Drosophila melanogaster: one gene and its partners. The protein of the gene in region 3 interacts with the protein of the main gene of each other region in a pairwise test. Each region holds a gene or a part of one and is shown on either strand. Other genes may lie near its edges.

Region 1 (3,688 bases), on a different chromosome or scaffold from region 3:
ATTGTTTCATTCTGCCGGGGCGAAGTCCGCCGGCAACCCAGTAAAATAATTGCCCAATAAACAAATGTTTTTGAAAATATGGTCCGAGTGCTCAGCAAACTTATTTCCGTAATGGACTCGGCATCAGGCCCAAAATCAATTTTCATGTCTGGTTCAATGTCATTTCGAAGTGGCGTACAATTACACCCGTAATCCCCTAGCATATGGCAGTAAATCTTGTTGTTTACACTCTCGTTGACCATCGACCATTGTCAATGTTTATTGTTTATTGTTTAACGCTTTTTCTGAATGACGTTTATATTTATATTTATATTAATATTATCAATGGCGGTGAACACATTCTATTAAATGAAATCCGCTATCTTTAAATGCAGTTTGTGGGAATTAGTAGCAGATTGTGTTAGTTTGTGTGCCCAGATTTGACCAACCACTCTGTTATTTGGCCATTTCCCCATTGGCAGATTGAGTTTGCATTTAATACCTTATACGTGATCCATCTGGTAATTAATGTCCCTCGTAGGCCGGTCGGTGAAATAAATTGGATTTGTTGTTAACATTTTAGTCACTGTTTTGTCATTACGCGCTGTGGGAAAGCTGCTGTCAATTTTGTGGCGACCAAAATGACGGTTGGCCAAAAGGCCAAGGGAAAACATCCACAAATTGATGAGATGAGCACTTTAAAGGGAAGTCGACCTGTCTCGGCATTAATAATCCCAGTGCGTGATCAAACTTCAGTCAGCCAATTGCTGGCTACTTATGCCCATAAATAGTTCATTGCATTTCCATTAGGCACTTTGCGGCAATCCGGACGACTGTTCGTTGACCTAATGCGAGCAATTCATTATCTGCAATTAGAGTTCAATTCACAGGCTCTGCCTGGCCAAAGTTCAAGGATCGGCTAGGCCGGCCTCTTGAGGCCATAACACATCATTAATGGTCTCTGCGGCCGGTTGCCAAAGAAAAGTGTAACAATAATGGGCTCGTTTGTTTTCATTGCACACGTGCCGGAGCCCCGACTTTGGTCAAATGTGCTCTTAATAGACCCAGCGTTTTGGGCCATGTTTTTGCTGTGCAAACATTGGCCAACTCTCCTGTCGGCGGCAGCTCCTATTCCCCCTTCAGTGGGCCACTCTTGTGGTCCGGCTGATGGCTCTGTTCCGTCAACTCGGGCGGTTCAAAAAATGAAATTAAATGCGCGAATGCATGTTTAATGGCGCGAAAATGTGTGGAATCTTTTTGAGAATAATTTTCGACCACACCTGGATAATGGGTGCAAATGTGGGTAGATTAGCAGTCGCACTACTCCTCATAGATTATTAGGAGGGACCATTATTAAGGGTACAAATAAGTCAATGAAAGTTCGAACAGGGCCCTGTTAGTTTTTCATTTTTTTAGGGACATCATAATTACAAAGGCTATCCAATCGCATTGAGAACTTTCGAGTTCGCAACTCTATTTCGGGCTCACTTGCAAAGTTTTTTTTACAATGGATATCCTTTAGCATAATTGCATGCATATTGCCTGCAATAATTGCATGTGATATTATTACAGAGATTCCTTTTTTGGTTTTTATTCCACGCCACTTTGAACCAGCCTGATTGTTGAATTAAAAAATTAATGAATGATTTTTGAAATGCCAATGTGAATGGCCGTGTAAATAAAATACAGCAGCCTGACCCCTTTCCATATATCGTCTGATGAATCCTCATGATGTTCTCGGCTGTTTCCATGTATATTTATAAACACCAGCGGCTTAAAACAATAATTCCCCAAGGACTCAGATGTTGTTGACGGTGACAACTATGTGGCGTATTTATTAAAGCGTTAATTGTCGAATCAAAGTAGTCACCGCATAAATAAGCCATTTAATATATCTCAAAAATCTCCAGTTTCCCAAGAGCAGTATCAAATTTTCAACATGTCCGCGACGAGCCTTGTAACCATTAAGTCGATCCCCTCAGCGGGAGATGTCCTGCGGGGTAAAAATGTACCAGTTCACCGCCTCAACGCGAAGTTTGTGGCCAAGGCCCAGGAGAAGGCTAAGAAAGTGGAGGAATTCCTGACTAGGACGAAGACCACTTCGTTGGTTTCCTTGTCAGGACTTGCTTCCCGATATGAGTTCCATCGTCTCCAGGAGCTCGACGAGTGGTATGAGCCAAGGATCAAGTTCCACGACGAGGCCGATGCCAGTTTGCATCCCAGCTACGATATAAAGCACTTTCAGTAGTCAGTTAAGAAAGAACTTGCTGAGTTACTTAGGTTTCCTGACACACCATTATTTCCAGCGATCTTAATTGCTATGTGCGGTATCTGGACTCCAAAGCGAAATATGATAGGCAGTTCCTTCACGAAATGGAGCACATTATTGCCAATCAACGCAATATCTGCGACCAGTTTTTCCTGAAGAAGTAAGCTAAAAGTTAGAAATGATAACATAAATTAACCGGGACTTTCGTGGCTTTTCTAGAATCCTGTGCTATAAAACAATGTGGCCCCCACTGCATACAAAGAGGGAACTGAATAACTTTGTCTCAAAATTCTTTCAACTGCCTCCTAAGGAAAAACGTCGCGTCGAGTATCTGTTGAAAACGGATTTAAGTCTGGGTTGCTAAAACTGATCCAATTGCAAAGTAAATGAGCCTTTTTATTCCACTTGGAAATGGTTTAATTAGCTCATTTAATTTTGCAATTATTCTCTGCAAAACTGATAAAATTACCTTATGGAAAATTGTACAGCCAATAAATTTAATTATGCAATTAAAGCCTTTTTTATAATTTCGCTGCAAAGTTAGTGAGCTAACAAATTGGATGGCTGGCGTAAGAACTGTAAGAAAATGTATTTTATGATTACTTGTTAAATTTTAATAGGATCTCGTTTACAAAAAGGTTAGTCAATCGGACAGCAACTAAATAGTTTTGAATAAAATCCGCATTTGTTTAATTATTCCACTAAATTACATTTAAACAAACTGCCGTTTGTGCATATTAAATATTTGAGCTGCGCTCATAAATAAATTCAAACAATGAATTATTATATTGTTAAACTGTGTAACTATGTGAGCAGATTCATGTTTAAAAGCAATGCAATTGTTTCGACCTCTTTTTACAAGTTACCGATAAGGGATAAATGTGTGCGTGTGTGATTGTATGCGTTTGTGATTGTGTGCGTTGACAGGAAGTGCGTCATTTGTCAAATGCTATTTTATGACCATTTTTTAGCCGTTCAGTCGAGTTTTGTTTGCACCGTGTATACACCTGAAAAAGAGCAAATTTACAAATGTTTACGCAGTGAACAATGACCAGAAACGCCATGTGAATTTGCTCTTTAATTCAGTTATGCCCTTGGCTGAGTTTCTTCTTTAAAATTAATCAAATAGAGTTTCGATTTATTGTTTGGTTTTCGCATAGGCCACAAAAAATAAACAACCATGAATAACTGGTCAGCCGAGGGTAATTTGCAAAGGTTTCACAATTTGAAATCGGAGCTGTGAATGCATTCAGGCCTGTCATTAAATCAAATATTTGTTTTCAATGTGACTTATCAATTTACAGGCATTAGACACAAGGATACAGGGATTTAATCATTTTGCAAGAATTTAGCTCAGGCTAAGCAAACTAGGAATATTTTCCGCTCCAATTCACGCATCACCCGATATTAAATTAAAAACTGAAGAACATCCTTGCGTCC
Region 2 (3,434 bases), on a different chromosome or scaffold from region 3:
GCTTCTGTGCGAAGAAACCGTTTCATTGCGTCACAAAGATGATTATGCTCATATATTATCGAACTAATGGGGGGAATTCAAAATTATATAGAGCTGTAAAACAGGAGCCAGCTAATAAATCGGCTAGTATCAACTCCTTATAAATAGCCTCTTTACGCAATACTATTGAATACAGAAAAATAAGCCATCAAAGTCAGCATTATTTGCAGTGTTTGCCGACCACTTCCCCGATAAGCCATACATATAGAGTTACGTAACTGGAGATCGGCGACTCGAGTGGCCGGGCTTTGGCTTTATATAGCTAATTAACTGGACGATCGACCAGGAGCACTTGTGTGCAACTCGGCAAAATACTATACTTCAGATGTGAAATTGCTAGATTTCTAGAATCGATCAGATTTTCCCCATTCATAAACTGGGTCTGCGACTGTGGCTAATCAGCGCAATACTGATTGATCGATTGGAAGTGCCATTGGACAATTTATAGAGCGATCCATAAATCATAATCGACTGGTATTTATTGTGCGCTATTCGCAACTACTCGAGCCCAGCTTTTAGGGTTTCCGTTCCAGCTGGAGATCTTTGTGGGGACGCAAGGCTTCTGGAAACCGAGACCCCGAGAAAAAGATCACATGATAGAACCCCCCCATATGATTATGATGATTGCATAAAACTCGAAAACTCGCGACTTTGCAAAGAGAGCGCGACTCACAGATACTCTGGAGAGTATTATATTCACATGACAAGGGTTCGACTAACACACACACACACTGCGAACGTAGTAGGTGCGTACCTGAGTATCTCAGAGATACTCGGGGCTTACGAAAGAGATAGCGCTACGCGTATCTGCCGCTCTGACTTTAGCTGCGACTTCTGGCAGGTGTTTGCACAATGGGTCCCATGACAGGTGTGCCCCGCAGCCCCCAGTAAGCTCACTTTTCCGACCAGTAGCTGTCAGCAGCCAGCATCACGTGCCAAAGTGCATTCAAATTGGGCTTAATTGCACATACTCCCTGCTGCCAAAGCACGTGCTTTGGATGGCTAGTTTACAGGGGATATGGGATATATACGGGTGGATAACCCGTGGCACAGCTTTTACACCTCGAACCCGCCGGGTTTTTCCAGTTGCTTCGAGTTTTTTCGAGTTTTTCGCTTACCTTCACAGCTCCGAAAACGCTTTTTATGTCAAAGACACACCAGATTCGATTCCCCGCGAGTGCGAGCGATAAATTTAGAACTTGTTTGTTGCCGAGCGAGAGTATCTTTATTCGAATCTGAATCTGAATGGAGCGCAGCACACGTCTGCTCACCGCCAGCGATCGACTGCGTTTAAATTTGGCACTCGCTGCCGCGACTTCGGTTCGAAAATCTCGCGATCGCCTCGAAATGCCTCGCACTCTCTGTTACTCAGCACACACACCCTGTGAATTCAGGCGGCTCTCTCGGCGCGGGCATGCCAACTATGTATGATCGGTGACCGTTATCGCAAATCAGAAATCGACAAATACCCGTACTAAAGTCAAAATCCTCGAGTGCTACATGTGTCTACCAAAAAAATGGTCAGTTTCCAAAAACCTAATCACTCTTAGGATCACCCAATTAATCACCATTAATATGTGATATTTTTGCAGTAACTAGATGTGCTTGTTGATAGTGAGGAAGCCAATCTCAAAAAAAAACCAATTGAACTAACACTTCTTACAATTTAAACTTTTAATTAGAATTTAGAATATAAAATAATATTAAGCTAATTTGGTAACAGTTTCATTTTAAATTTCAACTGTTTTAAGTGCTGTAAAGTGCATAAAGTGTTAACAGGTGGCTCCACGCACAACGCGTTAGTACCTTACCAAATAGCGTTTTCACTGCACCGCTCACCACGGCCACACTCTGCCTTTGTTTTGTTTTGATATTCCCACTGCATCGCATTTAATTTATTAAAAGCTGTTACCAAATTATGTCCTACGCCGGCTATAGCCAGCTGCCCAGCGGCAGCGACCAGGAGCGCAGGCAGGCGCAGCTCGCGGCCAGCACCTACGACGTGCTACAGCGGACGACGGACAGTATCCAGCGATCCAACCAGATTGCCATCGAAACGGAGAACATGGGGGCGGAGGTAATTACCCAGATAGTAGCCATTAACAGGGCTAACTAATGCTCGCTTACGCATCAACAGGTACTCGGCGAACTGGGCGAGCAGAGGGAGTCGCTGCTACGCACCACGCGCCGCCTGGAGGACGCCGATCAGGATCTGTCCAAATCGAGGGTCATCATTCGGAAGTTGAGCAGGGAGGTGCTCTACAACAAGATCATCCTAATCCTGATTATCATTCTGGAGGTGGGCATACTCGTCGGCTTGCTGGTGCTGAAGTTCGCTCACCTGTGAGCCAATGCCATTCTATTCCAAAGTCGTAACCACCAAACAGGCGATGGACTATATATACCTATTAATCGTTACGAATTCTTTGTCCTAGTTAATAAGCTTATAAATGTATATACTCCACTAAAATGCACTTCCAATTCAAAAAGGTCAGTTTTAGGATATACCCAGCGATGAATCGGGTGGTTGATTATGTTTATTCATGTTGGCTAAAGCGTTAATGCCTTAGACGTCTATAATATGTATTATGGTAGTAAAACACAGATAAAATCGGGTCTGGACATCGGAAGCTCTGCACTCCGAAGAGTTTAGCCCAGTCCCAACGCATATACATACGTATGCTATAACAATGATAATATGTAGTTCGTGCAGCACGCTATGCCACGACTATTTGGCAAAAAGCAACGTTAATTACATTCAGTGGGCGACAACGAGATAGTAGAACATCCTGAACAATGTCTGCATAATACTTGATCTATGATAAACGGTTACATATATGTAAGTATGTGGGCATCGCTTTGGGGATGCTTCTTTGTTCGAGAGATGTTTGGGATTTCGCAGAGCTGCGCCTCCTCATTCCTTTGGTGCAGCAGCTCTCCGCTTCAGTTGCCTTCAATTGTCCTTCGGAAGAACGATGGACCAGCCGAAAACGCGGCGATCGAAGCCGCAGGAGAAGAGATCGCAGTCCAGCAGCGGCTCCTCCGCCCACGCTACAGACGACACCATCCGTCGGTGGCCCTGCCGACTGGTCCGTGGCAATCGGGCGACTCTCTGCCCGTTCAAATCGAACAGTCGGATCTGTCGATTGTCATGCGGTATGGCGATAATTCCACCAGTGGAGACCGCCAAACGATTGACCGAGGAATCCGTTCGAATGGTGGCCAAGGCGGATCGCATGTTGCGCAGCTCCCAGACCTTGATTGTACGATCATCTGATCCGGACACCACCTTGTCGTCGCGTGCGAACACACTGGACGTAACCGTTTCCGTGTGCCCTTGGAAGACGGAGACCGCTGGGATTGCCTCTCGGAAGTCCCATAGACGGAACGTAGTG
Region 3 (5,348 bases):
GCCTAACCTTGCCTTAATATGCCTTGGACTAAGTAGGGAAACCTTTCGTGAACTATTGATTTTCTTTTGATTTTGATTCAATAGTCGTCTTCGAATTGTAACGTCAATGATTCAGCTCAGACTTTATGTCCCTAGATGATGCAAAAGGATTCACTTTGCTGCAACGAACTACGCGTCGATCCTCATCGATATCTGTGGATTTACGATGGAACCACGGTTTTCGCAGAACATTCAATGGTTTTTTGAATGTCCTTATATGTTTTTCCTTCCTTTCTTAGCTTAAGAATTAACATTCTTTTCTTCTGGGAGTAGTGCTGTCCTCTACCCACTAAAATATATATTTTTTATTTATTTTAATTTTTTGATCTTTTAAATATACGAATTAACTTAACCAAACACACTTTTTAGAAAATATTGATAATTTCGGGACTTTACGTTTGAGAAAACCAGACACTGCTATTTTAATGAACAGCCTAAAAGTTGTGAATTTGCTCAAGAATGTAAATAAAATAAGGAGAACACGAAAAACTAACGGGACTTTTTTTTTCTATCTAAACATTCCATTTTACAAAAAAAGGTGGAATAAAAGGTCGATCCCGAAAAGGGACATGGAAAAATACCGTTGTATTTCTTAGTTTCTCTTGCACTGCTATTTCTTTGAATGTACAAGTACTTAAAGCAACCATCAAATCGATTCAAATCAAGACATTATGTTGACCTTTAATGACATATTTCTAAATCGCATTGCAAATTATCTTTTAAGTGAATAGGATTTGATGTTTTTGACTATATTCGAATTAAACAACATAACATTAAACTTCATGCTACTGATTAACTGCCTTCACACCAATTTATCGAGCTTTCATATTGAATAAAATGCGTATTCACCAAATATGCAGATACATAACACATGATGATTTCGGGGATAAGGCAGTGAGTAGAGTTATACCAGGGGCCCAGCATACAGGATTCGCATAGAGATATTACTGAAAACCAAGAGATCAGCCACCAAACTTAAGAGTAATCGACCAGGAGTGGGTGTATCGTAAATCAAGGTACATCTTATGAGGTAAGCAAGGTGTTACTCACTCCGTATCGGCTGTACGTAGGTGAATCATAGCTGGACCCGCTCAGATACGAGGAGGTGCGGTAGGCGGACGAGCTGCTGCCGGATCCGCCGCTCATATACGACGTTGACGACGTGGTACCAACGCTGCTCCTCTGCACACTGGAGCGCGGCGCATACGAGGCGCTTGAGGAGCCGCTGTTGGCGGAGAACGTTGAGTAAGAGGTGGGATAGTAGCTGCTGCCGTAGCCCGACGAGTTGGAGCCGCCGGACGAGGTGGGCAGCCACTTGGACAGACTGCTGCCGCGGTCGTAGCTGCTCGATATGCGGGAGTAACCGTTCGTGGCGGCGCCTCCGCTGGTCCGATCCACCGCACCGCTTCCGGTGATGCTGATGTGGTGACTGCCGCTGGTGGAGTTGCTGCTGGTGGTGCTGCCGCTGGAGGTGCCGACCGCCGATGTACCGTAGAGACTGCCGCTGCCCGCCGCTGACGTTGACGATCTACGCGGCGCAATTACACGCATATTAATGGCAGCAGCGGCAGTGATCAAGCCCCGGGTTCCGGATGAAGTCGAGAGTGTCCTTGGTCTGCTGGCAGCACGTGGTATTGCTGAGCGGATGATTCCTGTTTTGTTTCCGGTCTTGCTTCGCTTTCTCTGTTTTTCGTGGGCTATACGGCGGAATTCAGTTTCATTAATGGAAATCACAGCGTCAACGTGTCCATGTACCCACCTGCGTCACGTTATTTACATTATCATCGCATTATATCCCTAGGATTAGGTTAGTTTTAAACTTAATGGCTGCATATGTGCTACATCTAAGACCCGTTCTTGTTGCTGCTAAAGTTGTAGGCGAAACTGAAAAGAATGGAATTTTAGAAGGCCCTATTTATCAAATTAATTCGAATTCAAAACCTCATACTAATCGGACCATAATATTCTAACTTCTTTATCAAAAATATACCCAAAAGATTGGAAAATGCCCAGTGTAAATGATCTAATGAGGGAACATCTTTTAATCAAAACCACATTTTTATGACGGTACTTTTAGTAGTGCAAACAATTCTAAATTGTCAAGACCTTGTCCGTTTACATTTGATTCACTTATTGGAGAAATGAAGGCTTGCAGGCGCAAGGTTATCTTGAATTCTGCATAAGATAATGCGAAACCCTTCAAGCGGAACTCCTCGTCTTTCTTCCCCTTCCCACGATTGATTTTTCACAAGCGCAAAAAACACCCACGCACATCTCGGGAATTTGTGGCCTTCGATTTGTCCCTGATGAACAGTTAGGCGGAGAGTGGAAAACCGATCGACACTTGTTTACAATCGCAAAATAGTAATAAATAGAGAAAAGCCGTTTTCAAGTTTGCCATAACAACAACTTCAGTGTGACGCTGGCTGGCTGAACTGGGTAGGGGCGGTGTGGGACGCGGACGGCTGTCCTTATGCGGTAACACTTAAAATGAAGTTACGTTCGTGTGTGTGCCGCCAGGCTGTCTACGCTCCCATTCGAGAAAACCGTTGCTTTTACATACATACATGCACAAGTGTAAGGCTCTGCGGGTGGTGTAGTGCAGGGGGATGGGAGAAGCGGGTGGTAGGCCTTAACTAACATAAGATGGCCACACTTTCACGAATCGATCTTTCGTTCATAAAATGCTACAACTACACTACAGCCCATTCACACACATTCACTTAAAAAAATTGAATTATCCAAGCTCACACAATCGCACGCGAGTACCCACAGGTGTAGCTGAACTTTTTCAACGGTTACCACGATTAGCCGCTTTCTTTAGACACAAAACTCATACATTCTTTGCACGTCAAAATCGAAATAATTGTGATAAAAGCAAAAACAATATATAAAACGAAACGAAATGAGATTCTATTTTTAAAAGGTGCACTCACACACGCGCGTACGTTTGGCAGTGAAATGTGTGAGGGAGAGGGGGCGAGCCAGGGTAGTAGTAAAACAGTGCCGAGATTGTGCGCGCGAGCGATGTAGCACTATTGGCTACACGGTCACACACACACACACAGGCGCCAGGCAGCGTACGAATTACGCAAAGTGAAATATCTTTCTCAAAATGGAAAGTGGAAAAGTGACGACGACGGCTATTAGGAATTTTTCATACATCCACGGAACACAAAAAATGTACAAAGGCAAATGCGTATATAAAGTGTATAAATTCATACTAAGATAGAAAACAAATGGGCGAGGGGATGGGTGGCGAAGGTGAAAATTTGACCGCAAAACGAACATCACGAGGCGAACGAGGTCGCGCTGCCGAAAGTCCCGTCTCTTAATGATATCCCACAAATTTTAACGCCAGCCAAGCGACATCATCGTTTTGCACCGCAAAAGGGCCTTTTTCCGGTCGAATTAAAGCAATTTTTTTTTGCACAACACAGAACTCACTTTTTAATCCTATTTTTTTTGCTAGTGTGGCCGCACGCCGAAACGAAGTCACCGTCACTAGATTTTGAAGATAGGTTAACTGTTCTTCGATAACTATCGAAGAACTATGCCTGATGCATGTATGGTTGGTGTACTTGCTAACAGATGAGCAGAGGCCTTCTTAATGTTCCATTTACACAGAATTCCATCATATGGGATTTGAAAAATATGCTTCAAACTTAATAGTTTTTGCACAAAACGCCAATCGAATTATATTTCCAGTTCCAGGGAAAAGATTTCTGGGTGGAAATAAACACACAACTTTCAATTCTTAATTAGACTAAAGTCAAGCCTAGAATATTATATATTACAGTTCAATATAATTTAATACAGAATTTTGTTTTAAATAAATAGTATTTTGTTTATCTGGTATATAACAATGATTTTGCACAAGGTATTTCTTATAGCTATCTGCGCGGTCACACTGTTTTTGTGTGAAAATTCTGTCGAAAAGAATGTATTAAAAGTTCTTTGAATACTAATTCCGTGTAATTCCGACCGTGCTGTTTCAGAAAACTGTGGTTGGATTGGAAACTTAACCAAATTATAAGGTAAAACCGGGGCAGCTTGCCCATCGAAGGACCGCCACAAACGAATTTTCGCGTCGCATTACGTTTTAGTGTTGCCACCTTATACGGAGTGCCGGGCACAATTCCACTTGCTGGCCAAACGGATGCGTTGCGGTCGCGATGTGCACGCCGTTGAATTAATTCCTTCGCCCTGTTGATTGAGTACAGTTCGACTTCTCCGATCGGTGTCCTCCAGACCTAAATTTCGCCGGAATAACGACGGCAAACGGACGGACGGACTCTAGTCGGAAAACGGGCGAGCTGGCAATACTGCCAGTGCACAAAATGATGTGAATCTCGGAAAAGAGGAAAGCTACAGGAAAAGCCAAGGAAAAGCAAGCCGGTAAAGTGTGCAAATGCGAGTGGCAAGCAAAGACCTTTGTTTCCCATTCCATGAAGTTTTCTTGAGTTGTCCGCTGCTGTGAGTGGTCATTATCAGCCATCATCATCATTGTCGTCATCATCACCAAAGGAGCTCGTCGTCATTAGGCCGGCCACCAGCTAAACGGCATTGAGAAAACTCAGCAGCACCTTGTCATCCAAGTCTTGATCTTCGTCTTGGTCTGGATATCCGTATCCAATCACACAGTTCAGGTGGGTTCTTGATCCAGACTCCGAATTCGAATACGAGTCCTAGATTCTCATGCTGATCCTTTTCCATATCTACAGTTATGTCCTCGACCGCCGGAAAGCGCAAGGAGATCTACAAATATCTCGCGCCATGGCCACTGTACTCCATGAACTGGAGTGTAAGGCCGGACAAGCGATTCCGGCTCGCACTGGGCAGCTTCATCGAGGAGTACAACAACAAGGTACAGATCATCAGCCTGGACGAGGACACCAGCGAATTTAGTGCTAAGAGGTATACCGAATATTTGTTTAGCTGATCCCTTCTACTTTCTGTTTTCATTTTATATTTCGTATATTATCTTTAAAAAATAATATAAAATGATAAGCAGTTTTGATATTATTGTAATCATTTTAAATATGAATAGTTATTTGGTTATACGAACCATTTTTCCGAAATCCCCTTCCTCACTGACAGATTATTTCTTCTTCAAATAGCACCTTTGATCATCCATATCCGACAACCAAGATCATGTGGATCCCGGACTCCAAGGGTGTCTATCCGGATCTGTTGGCCACCAGTGGCGACTACTTGCGGGTGTGGCGTGCCGGGGAACCGGACACGCGGCTCGAGTGCGTACTGAATAACAACAAGAACAGCGACTTTTGCGCTCCCCTCACTTCGTT

What was found. The genes of interacting proteins can lie anywhere in the genome.
Region 1: the proteins of Usp2 (region 3) and CG11286 interact in a two-hybrid assay, tested with the Drosophila melanogaster proteins (one large-scale study listed by BioGRID).
Region 2: the proteins of Usp2 (region 3) and Vti1b interact in a two-hybrid assay, tested with the Drosophila melanogaster proteins (one large-scale study listed by BioGRID).

Annotation. Positions count from the first base shown.
Region 1 is NT_033777.3:7,769,931-7,773,618, reverse strand, and holds CG11286 (uncharacterized protein), read left to right. Parts: upstream 1-1,862; 5' UTR 1,863-1,918; coding exon 1,919-2,226; coding exon of another isoform or gene 2,227-2,227; exon of another isoform or gene 2,228-2,285; coding exon 2,286-2,408; intron 2,409-2,467; coding exon 2,468-2,612; 3' UTR 2,613-2,759; downstream 2,760-3,688.
Region 2 is NT_033777.3:18,397,835-18,401,268, forward strand, and holds Vti1b (vesicle transport through interaction with t-SNAREs 1b), read left to right. Parts: upstream 1-1,874; 5' UTR 1,875-1,957; coding exon 1,958-2,116; intron 2,117-2,176; coding exon 2,177-2,386; 3' UTR 2,387-2,505; downstream 2,506-3,434. Other genes in the region: Wdr37 (WD repeat domain 37), read right to left, coding at 2,993-3,434.
Region 3 is NC_004354.4:22,454,002-22,459,349, reverse strand, and holds the start of Usp2 (ubiquitin specific protease 2), read right to left. Parts: upstream 3,548-5,348; 5' UTR 3,487-3,547; intron 2,905-3,486; exon of another isoform or gene 2,791-2,904; intron 2,460-2,790; exon of another isoform or gene 2,159-2,459; intron 1,924-2,158; 5' UTR 1,799-1,923; intron 1,737-1,798; 5' UTR 1,591-1,736; coding exon of another isoform or gene 1,090-1,590; intron 1-1,089. Other genes in the region: wap (wings apart), read left to right, coding at 4,766-4,956, 5,160-5,348. UniProt on the Drosophila melanogaster protein: Hydrolase that deubiquitinates polyubiquitinated target proteins. Required for preventing the activation of the Toll signaling cascades under unchallenged conditions. Essential for bodily calcium homeostasis.